4 separate regions of the Mus musculus genome follow, and regions 1, 2 and 3 are each reported to be linked to region 4. The links are microRNA targets in miRTarBase. Many come from high-throughput screens and were not tested one by one. Region 4 holds a microRNA gene; each other region holds the end of a gene's coding sequence.

The links. The annotated mature microRNA mmu-miR-466i-5p reads UGUGUGUGUGUGUGUGUGUG and lies in region 4 at 2,325-2,344, shown strand. An mRNA with a match to its seed (bases 2 to 7 or 8) in the 3' UTR can be bound and repressed. Matches are read on the target gene's strand: a 7mer-m8 pairs with bases 2 to 8, a 7mer-A1 pairs with bases 2 to 7 and ends in A, and an 8mer does both.
Region 1: miRTarBase lists Trp53i11 as a target of mmu-miR-466i-5p. Seed matches in the 3' UTR shown: 7mer-m8 at 2,220-2,226, 8mer at 2,211-2,218, 8mer at 2,209-2,216, 8mer at 2,207-2,214, 8mer at 2,205-2,212, 8mer at 2,203-2,210 and 18 more.
Region 2: miRTarBase lists Tns4 as a target of mmu-miR-466i-5p. Seed matches in the 3' UTR shown: 8mer at 1,144-1,151, 8mer at 1,146-1,153, 8mer at 1,148-1,155, 8mer at 1,150-1,157, 8mer at 1,152-1,159, 8mer at 1,154-1,161 and 28 more.
Region 3: the mRNA of Tnfrsf13c is a reported target of mmu-miR-466i-5p. Seed matches in the 3' UTR shown: 8mer at 869-876, 8mer at 871-878, 8mer at 873-880, 8mer at 875-882, 8mer at 877-884, 8mer at 879-886 and 28 more.

What each region holds. Positions count from the first base shown.
Region 1 is chr2:93,199,542-93,202,541 of GRCm38, reverse strand. It overlaps Trp53i11 (transformation related protein 53 inducible protein 11), which reads right to left. Exons shown (of 8, transcript NM_001025246.2): 8 at 785-2,756. The coding sequence ends at 2,623. Tspan18 (tetraspanin 18) reads left to right here. Exons shown (of 10, transcript NM_183180.2): 10 at 1-782. Among named protein-coding and RNA genes, the nearest start is that of Trp53i11, 13 kb to the right of the region's middle.
Region 2 is chr11:99,065,539-99,068,538 of GRCm38, reverse strand. It overlaps Tns4 (tensin 4), which reads left to right. Exons shown (of 13, transcript NM_172564.3): 13 at 217-2,861. The coding sequence ends at 358. Among named protein-coding and RNA genes, the nearest start is that of Tns4, 22 kb to the left of the region's middle.
Region 3 is chr15:82,220,494-82,223,493 of GRCm38, reverse strand. It overlaps Tnfrsf13c (tumor necrosis factor receptor superfamily, member 13c), which reads left to right. Exons shown (of 3, transcript NM_028075.3): 3 at 218-1,752. The coding sequence ends at 396. Among named protein-coding and RNA genes, the nearest start is that of Tnfrsf13c, 2.4 kb to the left of the region's middle.
Region 4 is chr3:85,465,058-85,469,468 of GRCm38, forward strand. It overlaps Mir466k (microRNA 466k), which reads left to right and starts at 2,320; the gene lies at 2,320-2,441. All of the region lies in intron 1 of Gm31419 (a long non-coding RNA gene), which reads right to left.

The sequences.
Region 1 (3,000 bases), not on the chromosome of region 4:
ACTGTCTAGGAAGGCAAATGGCTTGGCTATTGATTGGAAGTTCATGGCTAGGTTGAGGACTTAGCCCAACCACAGCGGCTGCCACCCAGAACTAGCCCAGGCTTCCAGAGATGGGCAGGGCTGGGACAGGGAGGGACTGAGAAGCCAGATATGGAGCCTAGGCAATTCCAGGGCAGATCAGAGTCCCTCACCAGAACTTTCCACACTTACGCTGAAGCGCTCCCAAGTAGCCCTGATTCAACCCAGCTTCTCAGCATCCTCATGGGGCCAGACAGACACAGTCTTCACCCTCTGAGCTTGCTGGTAGCCATTGCAAGGCTGTCTGAGGTCATCCTGGTGGGGCTTGGTGAGCTGCTCTGTGTACTCCCAGAGGAATGGAGGGGAGCTCTTCCTTCACCCCAAGATGCCTCAGCCAGTAGTGAGCAGAACAGCCACTTCCTGTCCCAGAGCAGTGGCCTAAGGGACAGCTGTATCTGACAGGCGAGGAGCTAAGACTGGACCTGTGGCTCATGCTCCCCATTATCCTGTCCCAAGCCCCTGGCCTACCTGGGTTCTGAACCCAGCACCTTCATCCCCAGGAACTCTGATACACACACACACACACACACACACACACACACACACACACACACACACACGTCATATGCTAAAGTCTATTTTGGAATTTGTAAATGTCCCTTGCAGTAGGAAACAGAGCTAATTTATCATTGTATCTCCCAAGTCTCCCCTTTTTATATTCTATATTAAGAGAAATTTTGTAATATAAAACAGGACACCACGCAGATTGTTTCTCATTGGTTGTTTTTTGTTGTTGTTGTTGTTTTCTTGTGACTGTTTCTTACAAAAAGAAAAAGGGACCAAGAATAAATAGTGACCATGACAGAGGCAGTCTTGGGGGCCAGGCAGAAGCATGACAAGAGGAGCTGGGGATGGGGTGGGGGAGAGCAGTCAGGGCACTCTGAGCCCAGACTCAGAGTGGGGCTCTATCTCCATCACTGCCTCCTTCCAAGCAGGTGTCTCCCGGAGGCCACATATGCCTTGACCCCACCCACCTAAATGTATCACTGCAGTTTAACCAGGGTGACCTGGGCTCCTGCTGCTGAGGGGAAGCCTGGCGGATGTCCCTGCAGGCTGCGCAGGGCTGGCGTCTTCCATTTCTACGACTACCTCCCTTGGGACTGTATCTGTATTTGTGGAGGATTCAAGATGATAAATCTTCAACACCTCTGAGAATGGTGTCAACAAATGTCACCTGGTCTACGGTAGTTGGGACTGTACTAAGAGCTGGCAGTGGCAGGGTCCATGGTCCGAGTAAAGAGGTGGGACTGAGGGACTGGCACCAAGCCAGTGACAAGAGGCAGGTATACACAATGGGCCCTTCCTGAACACGCAGGGAATCGCTACTCTGCCAGACCTTGGTTACAGAAGCAGCCCCGGCCACTGCTGGGCACATCCTCCACTGAGTTCCCTCCACTAGGCAAAGGCCATGGTCACAGAGCACTTGGCAGCAGGAACAACCGAGCCCAGGGAGGCTGTGAGCCCAGGTGCCCTAGAGAAAGATTCCTCGGGTATAGGGGACCACCCCCTTGCAGAAGGGAGAAGCCTCGGGCCAAATCTCTTAGTGTGCTTGCTGCTGAAGGGTAGGGAGGTGCTGGGAGCTAGGGCCAAGGGGAGGGGCCACACAGGCTGGTGGCACCAGGGGTGTGTCTTCAGCTCTAGAGGCCCACTTAGGGGCTGCTAAGGGATGGCAGACTCTTGAATCTCCTTCCGTTGTTGCATGTGAGCAGCTATTGGCTTTAACCCGTAGGCCTTGGGGCAGCCTCAGGAGGGGATCTGGAGGAGGCACTGAGCCAGGTGTGTAGCCATGCAGGCCTTGGAGGCCATGCCGAGGAAATGTCCCCACTTGTCCTCTCCTCAGAATTCCTCATGCACTAGGAGCCTATGGGCAGCTAGGAGCCAGGGACTATCAGGCCTGTGGTACATTGCCTAACCCTAGCCTGTCGGGAAGGGACTCTGGTGCTCTGGGACGCAGGCGGCCAGCCAGAGAATCAGAGTACCCTCCAGCAGGCCAAAGAGAGAGATGTGCAGGCTGAGGCTGGGGAACTTGGCCCAAGGGAGGCAGTCACTCCCCTTGCTAGATGTCCTCAACTGGATCTCTAGAAACACCGTGTGTGTGTGTGTGTGTGTGTGTGTGTGTGTGTGTGTGTGTGTGTGTGTGCGTGTGTGATGAGGGACTCACACATCGGGTTTCTGGATGGGGAGAAGCTGAGAGCCCCTGCTGGGGCCGACACAACCTCCTAGAAAGGGCTTCCTGGCAGAGGAACTCACCTTGACTCAGCCCAGACCCTAAAACTTACTCTAGACTCTGCCTGTTAGAGTCTAGAGGCCAAGAAACACAGGGCAAGGAGTTGTCCCTGCACAAGGGTGAGGGGTGGGGTGCAGAGGCCACAGCCTGGTCTGTCACTCCTAGAATCCCAGGAGACCCAAGATGACTCCGTGGAGTGCCTGGGAGGGAAGGAAGGCGTGTGCACCCTGCCTGCCTGCAGGCCTGTCTAGGACCCATGGACAGTGAAGTCCCCAGCTGCTCGGGCCCAGGTCCAGGCCCAGGCAGGTCCCAGCCTGCTACACTTTTTTGGGTTTCCGGCCGACTTGGTAATAGTAGTAGATGCTGACAATAACAAAGAGGAGGCGGCTGGCCAGGAGCAGCACGGTCCCCAGGGACATGAGGCCCGTCTCAGCAAGCGTGGCAGTGACCACTGTGAAGGAAGTCGGGGGAGGCAAAGGTCAGGAGCAGACACGTGCTTGAGCCTCTCCCATCATGACGCTAGGCTAGGCTGAATACCCTCGACCATCCCTGTGGTGAGTGGGACTGCAGGCTGACGACCTCCAGAAGCCTAACACCAGCCTAGGCCAGTCTGCTGCCCCCAAGTGGCAGGTGCCTAGAAGTGCATCCTGAGTGTCAGGCTTGGAGGGAACGGCTGGGCTGTGGATTCAGGACAC
Region 2 (3,000 bases), not on the chromosome of region 4:
TCACACACAGACACATGCTAACTCCACACAAACATGTGCGTCTCACACATACATACATACACACATACATATGCACATACACGCACAGGAGACACTGAAGCCAGTTGGCTTGGAGAGCGGTAGTTAGGTTCAGGCTGAGTGCCCTCCCCATCCAACCCTCCCCTTAGCATGATGTCTCTCGAGCCCACATCCCCTCAGACTGTCTTCTTTCACCAGGATCTTTGGGTTTGTGGCCAAGAGCCAGACAGAACCACAAGAGAACGTGTGCCACCTCTTCGCAGAGTACGATGCGGTCCAGCCAGCTTCCCAGGTCATCAGCCTAGTGACTGCTCTGCTTCAGGACACAGAAAGGATGTAGAAGGGTGCCATCTGTGTGCCTTCTCTGACATCTCAAGGGACTTGCCCAGGACATGGAACTGTGGCCTCCTTGACAAACCTATCTCTTGGACTCAAGTTGGATTGATCAAGTTGAACCCTTTGAACCTGATGTGACTTCAGCAATAACCTTCACCTGACTCTGGAGCCTCCGTCTCTTCGATTATAAAGACACCCGTCCTTAAGACAGCCGCTCCTTGGACACTCGGCTGGAAGTCTTTAGTGTGTTCCTCCATACTACTGAAGCCCACCCACATCCAAGATCCCTTATGTAAAAACTGTCTGCAAGGACCGTCTGGCTTCATTTCCCTGAGCACTCCCTACATGGTAGGTTGTACCAGAGACCTATGACCCCTGCCTTGTGGTAAACAGCAGGTGTTGGATCAGAACCATCGATTTCCTGGCTGGCACCTGGTGTTGATTCGCGGAGTTTGGGGACAGATTCTATTTCCCCACACCTGTTCCTTTTCTCGGTTTGCTGAGGGCCTCTTGGATCCACTGGCCCAGAGATTTAAAAGTTTGGGGTTGAGGATGTGTGTAGCTCAGTTGGTAGACTGATTGCCCTACATGAACGGGACTGAATTTGATCACCAGCCCCACAAACCATTCTCAATGGTCAATGGTTGTAATCCCAGCACTACAAGGCAGGAAGATCATAAGTTCAAGGTCATTCTTATCTATATAATGAGTTTAAGGCAGTCTAAGCTACATGAGACCCTGTTGAGAGAAAGAGACAGAAAGGCATGCACGTGCGCGTGTGTGCACACGCACACACACACACACACACACACACACACACACACACAATGGGAGTGGGATTAAGGTTTTCATAAATCTCAGCCAATGGTCTTCAAAGCCTTTACCTGAAGAGACCACACTCCAACACGGAGCTGGGGGCATCGCTCCACAAAGACCTGCTGTGGGAAGAGGGTACTGAATGGGCAAGAGCCTACAAGGTTCAGTCTATGATGGAGAGGGGACCAGGTCAAGGGCCTCAGCCAGAGCAGACCAGGCTGCCTCAGAGCATACACCTTATAATGCAACCCACTTCAGCTGGCTTTGGGGAAAGGGGCATCAAATTCAGCCTGCCCCAAGGTTGTCAGAGTCAAGTCTGGGAGCAGAAAAGGGGTGAGTTTTCACATCCCTGCATCTTCTGCTTTGCAATGAAGGTTCTGTCGGTGAGGCCTTCTCTAATGCAGTATTCATGATGTTCTCATTCATGTTCTCATTCATGATGTTCATGATCTTGAGATCTATCTGCTGCAGTTTTTTGACTCCTGTCTGGTGGAACATCCTGGATTTCTTGGATTTTTAGGTGTAATTTGCCAAGGTCTTGGAATCTTTTTCCCAAGAGCATGATAGAAAGATCCCTGGACTCTGCTGTTACAAGCGTGGACTCTTGTCTCACCTCATCAATTATTCTGTGATGTTGAATCAGGATTCTAAAGGCTAGCTTTTTTCAGTAGAAGACCCTTGTACCCACGATTAGAAAAGACTCAGCAGGGCCAGGCAGAGGTGGCGCACGCCTTTAATCCCAGCACTTGGGAGGCAGGCAGAGGCAGGCAGATTTCTGAGTTCAAGGCCAGCCTGGTCTACAGAGTGAGTTCCAGGACAGCCAGAGCTATACAGAGAAACCCTGTCTTGGAAAAAAAAAAAAAAGACTCAGCAATGTTCACATTCTTCATGTCTAATCCCTCCTTGCCCACCCATTACAAATGAACATCATCCCAAACTTTGCTTTCAGTTTCTTGGTAAGCAACAGCTGTCTGGCAATGCTCAAGGAATCCACATCTGGTGGGTAGGAGAAGAGAGACCCTGTTGCTATAGTACAGAGACAAGTATATCTCTGCCCCAGCTCCAGTCTTGCTGGATCCTCCTCCAGCTCCAACACACACACACACACACACACACACACACACACACACACTCATAACCATGTGGCATCACCAACCTTACAACCACAAGGGGGAAGCAGAGAGTCAAGCATGCAGACAGGCAGCTTTCCCAGCTGGTTAAAGAAGCTGGGCCCTTTTCCTCCCACACCCTGCCAGCCTTGCATAAGCCATTTGTTGCAGCATTTGTTGCTCTTGGTCCAGTCCGCCTGCCTCCTTAGGAGACCGTTCCATGACATGCAAGGGGAAGCTCACAGAAGAAGCCCACTGTAACTCAGTGTGAAGCAAGTGTTTGTCCCTGCCCGCTATCAGCCTACAGAGCAACATTGTCATTGGCCAAGGTCAGTCCTGAGGGATGATGATTTCAATGTCAGAAAAGCAAATCAGACCCAAGGGTGGGGGTGGGGGGATGCTAGGTCAGTGGTACAGGCCAAGACCGGCCTTCCCAGTGTGGGATCAGGCTCTGTGCCACTGCCGGGGTCTGCAGGGTGTTAGCAAAGTTTTCCCAGTTAGTAGTGCCAGTTCTAGGCTGAATGGGAGAGTCCTCCACAACTCCCTGTGTGCCTCATGGAAAATAAAGTTTTTTGCACCATAGCTGGTTCTGGACATTCAGAGCTGTCTCCTGAGTCCTGAGCAGAGAAGGGGACCCAACAGAGCAGAGAGTAACATACCAGGACACACCATGCGCATTTTGCATTGACCACAGAGGCCAGAAGAGGGCGTTAGAGCGCCC
Region 3 (3,000 bases), not on the chromosome of region 4:
AGGTTATGCCCTGTGGGCTGACCAGACACCCCTCTCCCTCACCTCATCTTATCAAGTCTCTGAACTCAGCACTTCCTGTGTTGAAGACCTGTCACGTGCTGTTCCCCGTCCTCCTCCTAGGGCCGTCCCAGAGGAGGCTTCTAGAACGGGCGTGGGGGGGGGGGGCTGTGATTCCGTCCTTCCTGCCTTATCTTACCTGCTCCCTCTCCCACCCCAGAGTCCCTGGAAAATGTCTTTGTACCCTCCTCAGAAACCCCTCATGCCTCAGCTCCTACCTGGCCTCCGCTCAAAGAAGATGCAGACAGCGCCCTGCCACGCCACAGCGTCCCGGTGCCCGCCACAGAACTGGGCTCCACCGAGCTGGTGACCACCAAGACAGCTGGCCCAGAGCAATAGCAGCAGTGGAGGCTGGAACCCAGGGATCTCTACTGGGCTTGTGGACTTCACCCAACAGCTTGGGAAAGAACTTGGCCCTTCAGTGACGGAGTCCTTTGCCTGGGGGGCGAACCCGGCAGAACCAGACACTACAGGCCACATGAGATTGCTTTTGTGTTAGCTCTTGACTTGAGAACGTTCCATTTCTGAGATGGTTTTTAAGCCTGTGTGCCTTCAGATGGTTGGATAGACTTGAGGGTTGCATATTTAATCTCTGTAGTGAGTCGGAGACTGGAAACTTAATCTCGTTCTAAAAATTTTGGATTACTGGGCTGGAGGTATGGCTCAGCAGTTCGGTTTGTGTGCTGTTCTAGCCGAGGACTCCAGTTGTTCAGCTTCCCGGAACTCAGATCTGGCAGCTTAAGACCACCTGTCACTCCAGCCCCTGGAACATCCTTGCCTCCAAAGGCACCAGCACTCATTTGCTCTAGAGCACACACACACACACACACACACACACACACACACACACACACATATGCATGCATGCACACTTAAAAATGTCAAAATTAGCGGCTGGAGAAATTCATGGTCAACAGCGCTTACTGTGATTCCAGAGGATGAGAGTTTGATTCCCAGAATGCACTGCGGGTGGCTCATTACTGAGCATAACTTTTGCTTCAGGGGACCTGATGCCTCTGGACTTCATGGGCATCTGTATTCACGTGCACATCCTACACACACACACACACACACACACAGACATACACACACACACACTCTTTTACAAATGATAAAATATAAGATGGGCATGGTGGTACACACCTTTAATCCCAACATTGGGGAAGCAAAGGCAGGCAGGTAACTGAGTTGGAGGCCATCCTGGTCTACATAGCAAGTTCCAGGCTAACCAGAGCTAAATGGTGAGACCAAGTCTCAAAATAATACTCCCCCCCCCAAAAAAAAAACTTTTAAATTTTGATTTTTTTCTTTTATTATTATTTTTTATATTAATTTCATGGTGTTTAGAAGTGGTATACTTAGATGGTGACTAAGAGGAGGTAAAGCCATCAGGACTGAGCCCCTAACATACAAGGAGAAAGCAGAGACAATGAACACGCCCCTCTCCTGCTGTGTGCCAGCTCTGGACCACCAGCCAGAGGGCAATCATCAGATGTGGGCCCTAGAACCTTCAGAGCCGAAAGCTAAATCAATCTCATTTCTTTGTAAAGCTATTTAGCCTTAGGTGTTTTGTTACGGTGATATAAAATGGACTAACACAGGCACTATGAGTAAGAAGCTTTTCTTTGAGCTGGGAAAGGTACTGTTAAACCAAAATTAATCTGAATAAAAAAAGGCTAAGGGGAAGACACTTACTCTGTGCCTGGGTGCTGTGTTTCTTTAACTCCTGCTGGGGGCGCTGTTCTGCTTTGAAGATGACTCAAGTGGCAGCAACAGCTGATGGTCTGGCTGTGGTATCTGGTACAAGCTTCTCTGTAATTTTATATTTCACCATATTGGGGACCGGACCCGCACTAAACGGCACTCTACAGTGAGCGTTGCCCTAACTGTAAGATCAGTTTTTAGAATAAGCAGGGACTAGGGGAGAGGCCTCGGTAGGGTAGTGATGAGTCTCGGTTGTCTGTAACCCAGGAAGAACCATGGATTTCTTTGACCCAGTCTGCTAGGACGTAAGATGCCATCTTCACCGTGATGGCTGTTTCTAGAGACCTGTGATTCATAGGCAGACGTCTGTAGTCTCAGGTTGGAGTCTAAATTTAAGCAGATGGAACATCCTGGTGGTAATCTCCCTCCGAGACCCGCTGGAGGCCGCACTCAGCAGTGTGGTGTGCTGAGCAGTGACCTGTACAGCACTCCTTCACAGAGAGGCCAAGGCAGGCCTGTGGCTCTGCAGCAAGCCGAGCTAAGATGGTCCTTTGTGTTCCCTCTGTGGACTGCTCTCCCCTTGAGCTGGGCTTTCTCAGCCAAGCTGGCCCCAGGCTCAACACCACCCTTGTGGAAGCTGTCCCCTGACAGTGGGGCTCTTTGTTCTGAAGCCACTGATCCTCTCTACCCAGTACCTGGGGTACATTGCACACTCAGAGGGAGCCATCATGTCTCCTGCCTGCCCTCCTGCTCCCGGGGAAGCTGCACTCTAGCATGTATGGGAAGGAGCACTGACCTGCGAGTCAGAGGTGGAGTCCTTCTGCAGAGTCTTGTCTGAGTTCTGACCCTGCCTTCCAGTCTCTTTGAACCCACAGCTGCCTGGCAGCACTTGGCTCTCCTGTGCAGTCCCTTCCTAGTTTAGAAAATGGTACCCAGTGGCAGTTTAGAGCGTCCAGAACCTGGACATTTATTTCCAAGATGTTCTTCTCTCCAGGGGTTGTGTGAGTAGGGTGAGATCCGATGACAACAGCAGGTGACAGGCATCAGCCAGGCCATTGCTGTCCACTAGTGCTAGCCTGGGGCTGGAGGAGTCTGAACTGACCCTGGCTACCTGTATTAGCTATAGCCAGGGTCTAGGCTCTGACGGCGAAAAAAAGCTAGTGAAACCCCCATGGGGTCATGGCATACAAACCTTTGGCACCCCTCCATCCCAGCTAAGCGGCTGGCTGGTACACAGTT
Region 4 (4,411 bases):
CTATGCTCAACTACATTTTGCCACATAGCTGGTTACCTGTGCTCAGGTACCAGGTATCTGTCTTGTCACATCTTCCCCAGTGTATCTCCCACCTGGCACTATCCCAGAATCCTTTCTACCTCACAGATGTCCTACCTCCTATTTCCTGCCAAGTTATAGGTCATCAAATTTATTACTGACAGTTGCCACATGCATACAGACATAAGATATTTTCTCCCCATAGAGATTAATTAGAAGTCAGGATCAGGATTATATTACTCTCCTAGGGTTCCTCCTTCCTCAAGATTTAGTTTCTATATGTGCACAGTTTAAGCAGGCACAGTCAACTGACTATGAAAGCAGAGACAACAGGAGAGAAGACGAGTCCAGGGCTGGAGACTGGATACCACTGACTTCTGCTTCTACACGTGGAGCAGATATATACAGTATCCTTGAGGCAGAAGGAGACAGACACTCTCATCCAGGGATATAGCTGACAGAGAAGAGACATCCACCCCCATACACACATCTCATCCCATCGTCTCTAACATCTGCATACTTGCACTTCACAGCTCACAAGTCTAACCTTCCCAGGTAACTGGCCCATTTGGGTCTGGTGTACCTTCAATCTCTCTTTTTTTATTTTCTTAAAAGAAACATTTGAGAGCTGAGCATCTAAGATGGCTTTGGATTCACACCCACTGTCTGTGGAACAGCTTGAGGCTGACAAGATTAGCTCGCTGGAACGCTCTGGGATCCGTTCAGCCTAAGCTGCTGCCCACACACCAGCCTTGCTCACAGAAGCTGCTTTCCGCAAGCAGCAGCCCGCTTCACCTCCTCCATCCTGGCTCGTGGAACTGGTCCTTGATGTCCTACCTGGTCTTGAGGACAGTGGCTTCCAGCCTCAACCAGTCCTCATTCCCAGATTCCAGGATGTGACCATGGTGATGTCTCAGCCTCTCCAGAGGAGTCCGAAGGGTGATACTTCTGTCCTTCCTCCTCCCATGTCTAATCACCTGATTTTACAGAACCCAGCATAGCGAGCAGTGCTGCAAGCTTCCTTCCCCTCCCTCGGCTCTCTTCTTCTGTCCCTTCTTTCTGTAATATCCAAGGGGACCAGACAGAGTGGGCCTTGATAACACACATTCCCTTGGCTCCAGAGCAGTAGCTTCTAAAACCTGTAAATAAGACAGCTCTATGCCCCTGTGTAGACATACACCCCAAGGATAGGCTGGCTCCCTGGTACCTGTCCAGAGTTGAGAGTTCAAAAGACAGACCAGTGGATAGAAATGCTATCATGCCCACCCACCCCCACCCCGCCAAGCAAGGCCTGCTGGCTCATGTACCTGGCCAGACATTACATGAGCAACGGGCAGTAATTGTTGTCTAATCTCTTCCCAGAGGTTTCAACTAGTTCCAAACTGTTGTGGCTAATAAAAACAGAGAAGATTTGCAAGAAATTCCAGGTGCATCGGAACACTTTGGGGGATTGTGCAGCCTGCAGGCAGACGAAACTTAACTCAAATAAACATAAGGTAATATGTGTTGGCAAAAGTAACCTGAAGTGGGAGTATACAACTGTACGTTTCAAATTGGCTGCTGCCTGTAAGGATGGAGATTGGTAGTAGCTCAGAATGGATGAAGTGGGCAGAGTAGCCAATGTGCATCCCAGAATAACCGAGGCAAATCAGATCTCATCTCACACAGACCCCATCAGTGGCCCAAGATGGAGCACATGACAGATTCCGCAGTCCCACTTTCTACTTTAAGGATGAGGAGACATCGTGGAGTGGCCTCCAGATTTAGGGGTCTCCTGTGAGCCAGGAATGTGTGGTCATGTTCTCAATGGAGCGAGTAAAAGAAAGTGTCTGTTTTTGTTCATTGAAGTCATTGACTCCAAGCCCTGGAAGCTGCCATGTTACCTCCATCTGCTGCCTAACTCTCAGGGCCACATTTAGATAAAGAGCCGAACTTCTGAACTGCAACAGCCCTGGACTTCAGTCAATTCCCTACTTTCTTACAGAAAAGAAAATATTGAAAAGCTGTATTATGGTGTCTTATATGAATGTGCTAGTTTCCAGGATGGGAGGGGCTGTATATTCACCTATATTCACACACATATACATGTGTGCATGTGATATACATTCATGTACACCCTCCTATAGAAATAAGTGTATGTGTGTGTGTGCATGCATATGTGTATATGTGTATGTATGTGTGTGCATATACACATGGGTGTGCATGTGCATGAGTGCATGTACGTGTATATGCATGTTCTCTATTGATATGTGTGTGTGTGTGTGTGTGTGTGTGTGTGTGTGTGCAGGTGTGTATATACATATATATGTGTGTGTGTGTGTGTGTGTGTACATGTACATGTGAGTATGTGTGTGTATATGTTTGTACATGTGCATGTGTGTGAGTATGTGAATATATGTGTATATGTGTGCATGTGCATGTGTGTGTATGGTGAGTAGGTGTTACTAATTGTGACTCCGATGGCTGTGTCTCCATCTGGCCTAGGTGACAGGTAAGCAACTGCACTGATCTTTCACAGGTAGCAGCAGCCTTATAGGGCAGGAGAAGACTGGCACCTCTGCACTGGCCGTGACCTTACCTGCAAGCCCCCGAGGAACAGGAGCTTTTTTACTCCTCCATCTTCTGGCTTCCCAAGCAGGTGCTGATATCTTGACAGGGAAGGGGAAATGCTCTGTCCTGGCCCTCTTGCCTCACAGAACTAAAAGCTAAACATGGCTTCAACTACCTCAGCGGCTTTCTTCTCCCACAACCACATGCAGTAGAGAGGCCCAGCGCTGCAGAATACATCTGTGATAGGAGAGGAGAGCTTGGATCTGGAATGTTCTAGAAAGTGATGGAATAATTTGAAATCCAAACTGTCTAAAGGCTGAAGAAGAAAGGAAGCCATTGCCACCTGCAGGAAGCAGCCAGGTCCTTTTGACCTCTCAAAGTTCTTGGCTGTGAGGTTCCATCATTCAGCTGATAAAACAGAGGAACAAATGTTACACAGGGAAGTTCACAGGAAAAGGGTCAGTACAGAGTGTGCAGAGCTTCTGGTGGTATAAAAGCCAGTCACTGAAAACTAGGGACATGTCCTCAGTCCTTGAGACCTGAAGTCATCTCTTCTCTTCTAAGCATCCATTATACCCAGGATTCCACAGCCCTAGGCCTTCTGGAAACAAACTTCATTTCCCCAAAAATTGTCTGCTACCCTAATGCCACCGGAACAAGTTTTTTAGCTCTTGGGTTATAGCTCAATGATGAAACACTTGCCCAGCATATACAAGACCCCAGATTCCACCTCCAACAACAACACAAAGCACGCCAGTACATCTCAGCCTGTGCAGAGGCTCAAATTTCGAAGGAAATAGGAAATAGATTCATTCATTCATTTAGTGACTCTTTCTCTTCTGCTGTGTATGAGACGCTGTGTTAGGCAACACCAGAAATAAGGTAAAGATTTAGCAGGTGACCACAAACGAGAAAGTGCAGTGCGTTCTCCACTTTAATCAGAGCAAGCCAGCAAATAAAATGTTCTAGGCAGTTTGTCTTGGCACCAGCCACAGGAATTTACCTGTGACATCCTAATAAAGAGGACACTGAGACATGACATCCACAAGGACTTGATTGGCTCTCCTGGAGCTGATTGTGCACACCAACCCCCAGGAAATAAGGCCAGGAGGTCTGTGGTGAAGCCTGAGTGTCCACGGTCCAACTGGGTCCTGGGTAACGTGGAAGCTGTTGTGAGTCTTGTCCTCAGAGACATGTATATAGAAAGACTCTAGTTCACCTCACTCTACTGAGCTGCATCTTAGGAAGGGCAATTAAATCCTAGCTATCACCCTGCAGCTGACAGGGCACACACACACTGCCAGCTCTCAACTAACTGGTCACACCCAGGGTATTTTCAGGCTATTATTATTATTATTATTATTATTATTGTATCTCAGAATATTTATATGAATAGCAGAGGAAAAAATATTTATTTACTTCCTTTTAAACATTTTTTTTTCTAAGTCTAACTTTTCATATTGTTGGGAGGCTACAAACTCAAGATTGTTTCCAAGGGATACCTGGAAAGCTAGGATGTCACCAGAATGTAGGACCATCTGCTACAGCAGATACTACTTCCTCCCTTGAGCTGAGAGACTTGGAAAGATTGACCCCAATTAAGAAGATGGGGGAGCAGGCAGGATGAGGAGGGAAGGAGGGAGGTTTTAGATAATGCGATGGTGTATCTAAAGCCACTGATTCGGGAAGAAACAGAGAGAGAGAGAGAGAGAGCACACCAGATCCAGCTGGCCTCTAGCTCTCTTTCCCTCCACCCAGACTGATATGTGTGAGCTGTCCTCTCTCCTCCTCCAGTTGTCTGCACAATGCCACCGCTCAGGTCACCCCATGTCACTGTTTCCTT